Linked DNA regions of Schizosaccharomyces pombe. The gene in region 1 interacts genetically with each later gene. Each region holds a gene or a part of one and is shown in the gene's direction. Other genes may lie near its edges.

Region 1 (4,239 bases):
AAGTAATCGGTTAAAAGCTTTTACCTTTTTCAAAGCTTTGTAAGCTTTTAATACGTTCAGCATCAGGAGGATCAATGTCTAAAAGCATCATTTGATTTGCGAATCGGCCCGTAGAGGACTCCTGCGCTGTGGTTAGAGACATTTAATGGCAGAAGTAAACGTCGGTGAATTTAAATGCAGCATTAAACTTACAGTACCATAGAGCAATACACCCATTATGTCGCTGGGATTTGTGATTACTCTTTGAGCCGCCAGCTGGTACGCACAAATAAGTGCCATCTGCAAAGAGCTGGGAGTAAATTCATCGACAGGATCAAGCATACTGGGAGAAACTTCAATCACAAATAAAATGGCATATTTTCCAATTGCAAAATTCTTTAAACAATCGTCAGCATAATAATTTCAAAACACCTGCGTCTACCAGTCCATATTGGTCATACTTCTGTCTCATCTATTTGTTCATCGTTTTCCATGTAAAAAACAGATTATCAAAAACAATTTCCTTGGCTTTTTAAATACGACAAAAAGAAAAAAGAAGCACGCGTAATTATAAAAACGCTGATATTTTATGTAAACCGTCCGATGATAACGGCTAAAGCACACGAATGAAATAACTATTTCATTAGTATCTTAAATGTCAAATAATTTAATATATTGATATACCAATATGAGTTATTAAGCACCAATTCCAATATTTGAGAAAAATAATAAAATGCACAATGGTGTCAACATTCTAGTGGGTGTTTTACACGCACTGTGATTGTTGCGAATACGTTAAATTTAAAGAGCTCAAGTAAAGCCGTCGTAAGTTGCAACTAATATTAGTTCGTTATAGTTCATTTGTGTCGGCTACGCAGTTTGGTATCTGATTTAAAGATACGTAGAACTGCGGTGAGTTTTCCTTGTGATCTATTATATTACAATACACAGGTTGTATAAGTAGCAACTGAGTATAGGTATTGTATTAACTGGGTTATAATGTTACCTATCACTAATATAGCTCATAACTGAACTGAGGAACGAGGTTCAGCAGTAGCTCTATTTATAGTATTCAGATAATATACATATTAATAGATTTTAATTAAGATCAATATCAATATCGTATCATACATGGTACGATATATAATTAGAACATGTGACATATAGTGAAACGCAACGTAATATATCATAGCTTAGTGTAGTATTGCTGACAATTTGCGGTTTTGTTCGTAACGTGTGGAAGAAAAAAATAAAAAATGAGGTTTATGAACGATGAAAAGGACTAGATTTTTGATATAAAATTGATAATAGGTATACTTTTCTTAGTTATTGGAAGGATTAGTCACGGGTTTCAATTTGGCCTTTACTTCGACAACTGGTAACAAAAGATAAAACACAGAGACAGAGAATAAGCAACAATTAATAGTCAGTCTTAAGTCATTCCTTTTTCAGGCTGATTATTTTTTTTTGGTTTGAATGCTTCATCAATCTGTTTTTGCTCGAAATGCGATACAATATTTAGCTTTTTAATTCTTAAAACTTTTAACTTAAGGTAAGCGAAGTATATTGTTTTATAATTGTTTAGTGAACCATCGTGTAATTATACTCTTATCTTATTGAATGAATAACGATTCCTTGCATTTCATTATTAAGAAAATATACTCTACTATGTTTAAATGAATTTTTACCTGTGCAGCGTAAATTGCGTTTTCATCAAAAACAAATAATATTAACTACAGCATGGGACGTGGTGGTAAACGCACTTGGTACAATGGTGATCGTCGAGAAGCGAAAAGGAACCGACCTAATTCTATATACAATGGAGAAGGTCGGCCAGAGAATTTGGTAGTTGGAGAAAAAAAGCCGAAAAGAAAGGTCGCCTGTCTTGTAGGTTATTGTGGTAGCGGATATCATGGTATGCAATTGAATCCTCCTAGTAAAACAATCGAAGGAGATCTTTTTGATGCTTTTGTGAAGGCTGGTGCCGTTTCTTCTTATAACGCTGATGACCCAAAGAAAGTTGCTTTAGCAAGAGCCGCAAGAACTGATAAAGGAGTTCATGCCGCTGGAAATGTTATCAGTCTCAAACTTATAATGGAAGATGAGAAGTTAATTGAAAAAGTGAACGAACACCTCCCTCCTTCCATTCGCTTATGGGATGTGATCCGTACTATTAATTCTTTTAACCCAAGGACTTATTGCGAATCTCGTATATATGAATATATGGTTCCAACGTATGCTTTTGTTCCACCGAAACCTTCGTCCATACTTGGAAATTGCATTATGAAGAATTCTCCCATGCCTGCTGAGCCAATTAACAAGGAAAATATAAATCAACTCAGTCGTTCATTATTTTATGAAGAAGGAAAGGAATTTTGGGATGATTATGATATTGCAGCCAAAGAGATTTTGAGCCTTTATGAACAGGATCCTGAAGGCTTCGTAAATCCATATTCTAAAAGGGGAGCTGCTGCTCTTGCTAATTCGGAAAATAATAAGGGCTCTGAAGCAGGAGTTTCCGCTAAAACTAATCCAGATATGGATTCCGATTCCTCTGCTATTGTAAACGAGTTTTTAAAGCCTGACTCTGTTGAAGACGAATCTGCTGGTTCCAAGATTGATCCCAGTTATCGTCTCGAACGTGCACTTAAGCACATTGAAGTACTTAAATTAAAAAATTACCGTATTTCCGCAGATAGGCTGTCCGTTATTCGAGAAACTTTAAACCAATATGTTGGAGTTCATAACTTTCACAATTTTACTGTGGGGCAAGCATTTCATCAGAAGAATAGTAATCGCGTGATCCGTTCTTTTACTGTAAGTAAGAATTATCTTCTTTGTATTTATAGTATTCTTGACAAGTCTTGTTTCTAACATTCTAGGCATCTGATCCATTCATGATTGGCGATACAGAATGGATTTCATGTAAAGTTCATGGTCAATCTTTTATGTTGCACCAAATTAGAAAGATGATTGCGCTTGCTATTTTAGTTGTACGAACGGGTTGTCCTGTTGAGCGCATACAAGATGCCTTTAAAAAAACAAAAATTAACATACCCAAGGGACCTGGTTTTGGACTTTTATTAGAGTCACCGTTTTTTAAAGGTTATAATGAACATAAAGCTCCAGAGAATAATCGTGATCCTATCGACTTTACAAAGTACGAGCAAAAAATTACTGCTTTTAAGCATGCTCATATTTATGATAAAATTTTTCTCGAAGAAGCTCGTAAACAAGTGTAAGTATATTTTTTTCTTAAATTAACTAACCGGTTTAGATTTCATTGTTTTTTGTCTTTTATTGACAGTTATAATGAAGAAGATTTCAGTTATTTATCAGATATAGGCATTACTGAAAAGACGCAAGAGGTTTCCTCAAAATTGCCTGATGTTCTTTCTAGCGATGAAGAAGAAGATTCGGCTGAAAACAAGGATGATTTAGAGGGCTAAAGGATTGATTGTGAGACTGAGGATTTGCAACAAACTGATACCATAAACTTTGCTGTTTCTTTTAAAAAATTAGACTACAAACGTGTACATATATTTTTGGAGAATACTTGTTTCTTTCTTTTTTTTAGAATTGATTATTGGTTTTGGGTTCTATTGGTATTTTTATAGTTTATTAACTTCTACTTGATTATTCCAAATGTTAAGACCGTATGGTGCAATATACAAAATAAAAAATGAAAAAATTAATGAAATAGAAACTAGATGAACGGAGGAGAAAATTAAAAAGTCGAAAATGCGTGGTCAAGTAGACCAAAATGTAAACTATAATCTCATAAAGAATTTAAATCATCAACCGAAGCAAAATCAAAAGAATTTCTTTATAGTGGTTGGCGGGCACTAAAAGGAATCACTCGTCCCAATATAGTACCAGTAACTTGCATACCCTGCTCACCATGTCGAAATGCAGCAGCTATTAACTCTCTAGTACGAAAATACGAATGGCGACGTTTTACGGGTAAAAAAACTTTTTGCTCCAAAGGCTGATTGCCAGATTTCTGGAGAACATTCATAATGAAACTGACTTCTTCATCAGAATCAACAGGCGCTTGATGCTGATTATCTTCGGATTCTTTTGCAGTTTCGAGGATTTGTCGTTGTATTTTTACTTGGTTTTTCTTTTGACAAGCTGCAAGCAAAACATCGTATGGCTGAGATCTTCCCGGAACGGCTCGTTTGCTTGACATTGAATGCGTTTTACATGTGAGAGATCTGGCGCACATTTGCCCATTAGGAAGCAAAACACCGCATTGCT
Region 2 (6,424 bases), on another chromosome or scaffold:
TTTCTTTTAAATAAGATAAATCTCAGCTTCCACTTTTTTTACTGTACACGTTAAAAAAAAAATCAACCATACGGATCAATCTCAGCTATTTTACTATGCCGGCGTTTGAGCAACAATGGTAGTTATTTTGCTTCTTTTTAAAATATTTTACCTCCTTTGTTGTTGACTGTATCCATTTTGTGCATTGATTGTTTGATAAAATGGTATGTTTGGCATTACAGGAGCACCAGGTATGGTAGCAGCAGCAGGAGAAGGAGAAGCCATCACCATTCCTGGTGGTGGAGGGGGGACAAGTGGTGCACCTCCAGGGCCCATTGGAACATTCATCATTGGCATAGCAGGCATTCCAGGGAAATGCTGTGCAGCAGTGAAAGGAAGAACATTAGGTATTGACAAGGGAGGGACGGCAGTAGTTGCTCCCACTAGAGGAACATTCGGTACAGGAGGTATCGATGTAGCAGCAATTGTTGCTGGAGTATTAGCAGCAGATGTTGGAGCAGGAGTGGCGGGTGAAAATCCTGGAGGCAGAGTACTCTGAGGAGTAACGGCAACTTTATTCTTTTTAGCGGCTGCTGCTAGCTTTCTTTCCGCAATATCTCCGTGACGTTCACCCTTTCCTTCGCGTTTAAAGGCGTATGACACGGTAATTGGTTTATTCATTAAAAACTGATTATTCATGGCCTCAATGGCTGCATCAGCGGTTTCAAAAGAATCGTAGCTAACAAAACCATAACCTTTCGACCTTCCATTCTCGTCTCTTGCTACCTGAGGTGCCTTGACAAGTTGTCCCAAAGCAGAAAATGTATCGTACAATACGCGTTCATCAACAAGAGGATCCAAGTTGCCAACAAATAAATTTGCACCAATTAAGGTATTGACTCCTCTGTCCTGGCTAGCTCTATTGACCCTTATAGGCTTTCCAAACAACTTTACTTGATTCAGAATTTGACATGCATACTCAACATCTTGTTCGTGTAAGAATTCGCAGAAACCAAAGCCATTATGACTATTCCTTACTCTATCTCTTGGAATATGAATATTTACTGTATGAATTAGTATCGAAAGCCACAAATACAACCAACACTCGAATAATTACATACCAACTGGACCTGCCTGCAGGCATAACTCAAACAAAATAGAATCCGTTACTTTTTCATCAAGATTGCCAAGATATATAGTTGCATCCTGATTCCTGTCTTCTCGAATACTCATTAATAAATAAGTAAAAATAAGTTAAAGTGTCTATTATAGAAATTTATTAGAATAAATAGATAGACACGTTTGAAGACGCTGGTAGAAGATTCAAGAAATTGGTGCATAGTCTCGTTATTGACTTAATGACGAGCACCAAATAGCACAATAGAAAACTAAATTACAGTATTCATCGTTAAAATTTCAGTGTCCAGCGTTTTCCAAACACATTTATGGAGATTTTTAATACTAAATCTTCGTTTTTTTTTTATTATTTTATAATTTTACTCATGAGATTGAATTATATTCAAGTTGAAGGTACAGTTGTGAATGGTAGACTGACGAAATATTTTTTATAGCAACCTATCTCTTTATACAGCCCTAATTTCCTTACATCCATCGTACACTAGTACATTTAATAGGTTCATTTATTAACTTTTTGTAAAAACGATGTTTGGCCATGTATATTTATTTTTGCTGCTGTAGTTTTGAACACAACTGAGGGCTTATTTATGTTACCCTAGATGGGCTTTTTACTCCCATGTGGTCTTTGTAACCTTCTTATGATCTTCACCCTTCAGGTGATACCACGACTTCAGTTGAATTTTATAGCTTTTCGAGTGTGTTTTTAATCAAAATATTTCTGTGATGTTGGTGTTTTGAAAAAGCGTACTTGTGTAGTCCTAGATGCCCCTTTTTTCTTTCACTTAAGTCTATTATTGTTTATGTTTAATTTTCTACTTGCAAACTTTTCGAAAGGACTGTTCGTAGCCTTTACGTTTATTGCTTATTTATTTTTTCTGATTTAAGCTCGTGAGCTTTTTCTAACAGACGTACGATCAGACAATTGGCACGTCTGCTTTTCTTTTCTTTTCTTTTTTAAGACCTGTCTACTCAACGCAGGATTTCTTCGATTATCTAGGTTTTTAAACGGTTTAAAAGGACACAGAATATTTTATTACTTCATTTTAGTATTTTATTTTCGACATGATTGCTGCTGTCGAAAAAGATGCTGTGCCTCGAAAAAGGCGAGTAATCAGTCAAGTATCTCAGGCATGCATTCGGTGTAGGCAGAAAAAAATAAAGTGTTCTGGTGAAAAGCCATCATGTCAAGCTTGCAGTAACAACAAAGTTGAATGCATTTGGCCTGATCGACCGAATATGCGAGGCAAAAAGCCATCTTCCGCTGCCAGAACCTTGAGTCCTCTTACTGGTATAGTGCAACCGTATCTGGGCTCTCATCCTTTTTCTCCTACGATCCTCTCTCCATCATCTCCTAACATGGATTTTACTTACTCTATTAATAGCTTTGGTGACTATCAGAAGCAGTTAAGGCTACCAACCAGTAGAAAGTTATTACAGCTTTGGGACATATTTCTTAAAACTTCATATACCGAACTTTTTGGGATATTTAATAAGGCCCAAATTACGTCTCAAATTGCAAGTGATACTGCTCCGCCAGTCCTCGTACTTTGTATATGTGCTCACGCTGCTCGTTTCAGTCAAGAGGAAGTCAATAGATTTAAATCTTCAACTGCAGCATCTGATTACTACGCAAACCAAGCCTTTTCACTGCTTCCTTGTCGTTTCCAGGATATTTCACTGACTAATATCACTTGCCTGCTCTTGCTTTGCTTAATTGAGTTGGGCTCTTGTAGAGGCGCTAAAGCCTGGCTTTTACTGGGTATGGCTCTCCGTATGGTCGATTCTTTAGATCTTGGTAACGAAATAAATGATAATCCTCTTACGATGGGATCCAACACTGTTTCATGGACTGAAGCCGAGCAGAAAAGAAGGGTTTATTGGGCTTGTTTTTTTGTCGAACGTTTGCTAAGTACAGGTTACATGGCACCTTCAAAATTGCGCTCACTTTCTTTATCTCTTCAAAAGACTAGTATACAATTACCTTGTCCGGAACCTAATTTTTTATTTAATCAGCCAATTCTTACTGAGTTATTTGATGGATCTTTACCGGAAAACACTCAGTCAGACACCACTTCAATGGCCCCATACCAAAGAAGTTTACAACTGGAGTTTATGACGGGTTCCCTAATCCGCTTGTCAAATTTGTGGAGTGAGATCTCAAGATGGGCTCTATGTGGTGGATACACGAAAGATATCACACCCCCTTGGCTAAATCAGTCTCAATTCCATCGTAGCTTTGAGCTTTTAAAAGCCTGGCATGAAAATTTACCTCCAAGAGCAGTTTGGTCATACACTAACTATTCGGCGTATAGTTCTCCCGGAGAATCGGCTGGTGCCTGTTACACTTTTATGCATTTGCTATATCACACTACCTTGACCTATCTTCTGAGAAACGTCTTAGATTTATTTCCTGAGAAGTCGAGGCAGAAATCCAAACTTTTTTCCTCTGTTTCACAACGCTTCGGACAACAGCCTCCTACTGTATGGATGGATATGATTTTAGATCAAGTCATTACTTCTGCTGATTTCATTACAAAACTTTCAAAGGACCCCTTAAACTACATAATGAGCCCATTTGTGGGGTTTAGTATATTGACTGCTGCTACTATCCATATGCTTCTTAAGTTTTGTGTTGTCAACATCGACCAAAATTACATTTCTTCCTCTCGACTTGTACACGTTGATCATCAGATTTTACAGGATCGATCCAAATATTGGAAAATTAATCAAGCAATGTTGGTAACTCTTCAGAGATTGTATAATTTCTACCGCTTTCAGTATTTAGAGGAACAGTCACTTTACAATTTCAAAATTCCAGGATTTCCTTTATGTATTCTAGAATATGGTATAGTGGAAGATCAGTCGATGAAGTCTAATCCTGATCTGAATTCATTTTCAAAAGAGTTGTTTTCAAGAGGAACAAACGAGCTTTTGAATAATGGCGATGATACTCAAAGTGGGAATTCGACACCTGCTATGGGTGTTTCTGAAATACGAACTGATACTATTCTGGATGAGGAAGTCCCCGTAGACCCACTGATCACTTCGATTTTAGATGACGGTCGCTGGTGGGAGGAAATGTTTGGATCAGAAAGGAAGGCGGGTTTTAAGGAAACGGTGTTCGAAGACATGAATGGAAGAAGTATTCGATTGTAAATTATACGATGTACAATAGTTTCTTTAGTTTTTGTTTCTTTATTCTTTTGTATACTAGCACTCTAATTTAAAAAGCTTATAATGCTTTACTTTTTCTACACCCCTGGAATTCCTTTTATTCACGAACTCGAAATTAATGATATTGATGGAACTGGTTACTTGAGTCAGTTTCTCATAACACTTATTGATTGCTTTTTATGCTTATTAATATAAGTTACTCATATTCTTATTAATGGGTAGTTTTATATTACTCATAGCGTAAATAAATATTAAATGGTATAACGGGAATTAAACTAAATTTGCTGATCATTAACTAATGCATAAATTTATTCCTCCTTATATAAGACATCACGGTTTAAGTCCTTTGGTTTCACAGATACAATACCAGATAGATGTAGCGTTAATTCCAAATCTCCCAAGAGACAACGAATGACATGACTAACACCGGATGAACCTTCAAGGGCTAACCCGTAAACATAGGGACGACCGATTAAAACCATCTTAGCTCCTAATGCAAGGGCCTTGGCAATGTCAGCACCTGAACGAACACCAGAGTCAAATAGAACATCTAATTTATCACCAACAGCATCTACGATCTTTGGTAGCATCGTCAAGGAAGCAACACCTCCATCTTGTTGTCTACCGCCATGATTTGATACAACGATGCCCTGCATGCCATATTCAACTGCCTTCTTAGCATCAGGAACATTCATGATACCTTTGAGAACAATTGGGCCATCCCAATGTTTACGAAGGAACTTCAAGTCTTCCCAATCATGGCTGATTCCAGGAAAGACAATTCCAGCAAACTCTTTAGCTGCCTCTAACATATTTTCTTCGACTTCCACACCATGCTTCTCCTTAAACTGCTTACGGAAAACGGGGTCGGAAAATCCGTGTTCAACACCGATGCTGTCAGGATTTAAGAATGGATCGTAACCATTGTCCATGTCTGAGGGACGCCATCCAAGAATAAATGTGTCAAGAGTAACTATCAAAACTCTGCAGCCCGTTTTCTTGGCGCGGTTGAGCAAACTAATGGTAATGTCTTGATGGTCATTGCTTGGCCAATAAAGTTGATACCATCTCTCTCCAGGACCACTAGCCTTTTCTATATCTTCAAAGCTGGTTGCAGACGCAGTACTGATAATATAGGGTATATGCTCTCTAGTTGCAGCGGCACACGATCCACTTTCACCCTCTGGATTGAAAATTTTTTGTACTCCTACAGGAGCCAAGGCAATAGGAAAAGGATATTTTTGGCCAAAGACAGTGGTAGACAAGTCGGGGAAACCAGACTTGATGAGACGGTTAGGAATGATGGACCATTTCTTAAAGGATTCCATATTTTTATCATATGTCTCTCTTTTTCCTGCACATCCGTAAACGTAGCCGGCGGCATCCTTGGTCATTCGCTCAACAGCCAGTTGCTCCCAGTGTCTGCCATCTACGGTGATTTGGGGTCTTTGAAACTTGAGACCTTTAGCGTAAATTTCGGACTCATATGAAATGGGCTCTTTTGCGTCAAACCAATTGTAGTTGCGGAACATAGTTAAATCGTATTGAGAATTTATTGATTACTTAGATAATGTCTTCGAGAAAGGGAAGAATCCAAAAATGTCGTAAAAAAGTAATAGAAATTAAAATGATGAGTTTCTTAACTTTTAAGGTTCAAAAGTCTTCTGATATTGCAATGAATGAGTGAAAATATCGGACCGACAATTTCAACTTGGGACGAGGAGTGTATAAAGGCGAAGTTGTATTTTTTTAATATTTCTTAACAGATAAAGTGGTATTTAAAAGTAATAGTTTATATTGTTTTTTATTACAGCAATTCAGTGCTACATTTATAACTTTTGGTTTTCGAAATTATGTAAATATGACATCTCAAGTTTCATATTAAAACATTTGTAAACGAATTCGCTTTCCGTACCCATTGGGAAAAGCGAAATCCCGTTTTTGTCCAAATTTGAAACAACCAGAGATGATTTCATGAAACCTTTCATTAATTATTTTCCTAATGAATTTAGATGTATTGCGCTCAGCTACAAAGTCCATGTTCATTTAGCATCCTTTCTTATACTACGATGGCAAAACGGCTAGCATGAAATCGGTTCATTTCTACAATATACAAAGTAATACTGACATTGAT

What was found.
Region 2: mutations in pus1 (region 1) and mca1 together harm fitness more than expected from each alone (negative genetic interaction), as found in Schizosaccharomyces pombe (one large-scale study listed by BioGRID).

The regions. Positions count from the first base shown.
Region 1 is NC_003421.2:2,118,946-2,123,184, forward strand, and holds pus1 (tRNA/U2 snRNA pseudouridine synthase Lsp1), read left to right. Parts: upstream 1-1,669; 5' UTR 1,670-1,719; coding exon 1,720-2,796; intron 2,797-2,861; coding exon 2,862-3,217; intron 3,218-3,256; coding exon 3,257-3,428; 3' UTR 3,429-3,685; downstream 3,686-4,239. Other genes in the region: Ku domain protein Pku70 , read right to left, coding at 25-121, 193-375, 441-473; SAGA complex deubiquitinating submodule subunit Sgf73, read right to left, coding at 3,806-4,239. UniProt on the Schizosaccharomyces pombe protein: Formation of pseudouridine at positions 27 and 28 in the anticodon stem and loop of transfer RNAs; at positions 34 and 36 of intron-containing precursor tRNA(Ile) and at position 35 in the intron-containing tRNA(Tyr).
Region 2 is NC_003424.3:2,984,184-2,990,607, reverse strand, and holds mca1 (transcription factor), read left to right. Parts: upstream 1-1,754; 5' UTR 1,755-2,178; coding exon 2,179-4,272; 3' UTR 4,273-4,598; coding exon of another isoform or gene 4,599-5,822; 3' UTR 5,823-5,875; downstream 5,876-6,424. Other genes in the region: U2 snRNP-associated RNA-binding protein Sap49, read right to left, coding at 148-1,043, 1,101-1,212; SPOM_SPAPB1A11.03 (L-lactate dehydrogenase (cytochrome)), read right to left, coding at 4,599-5,822.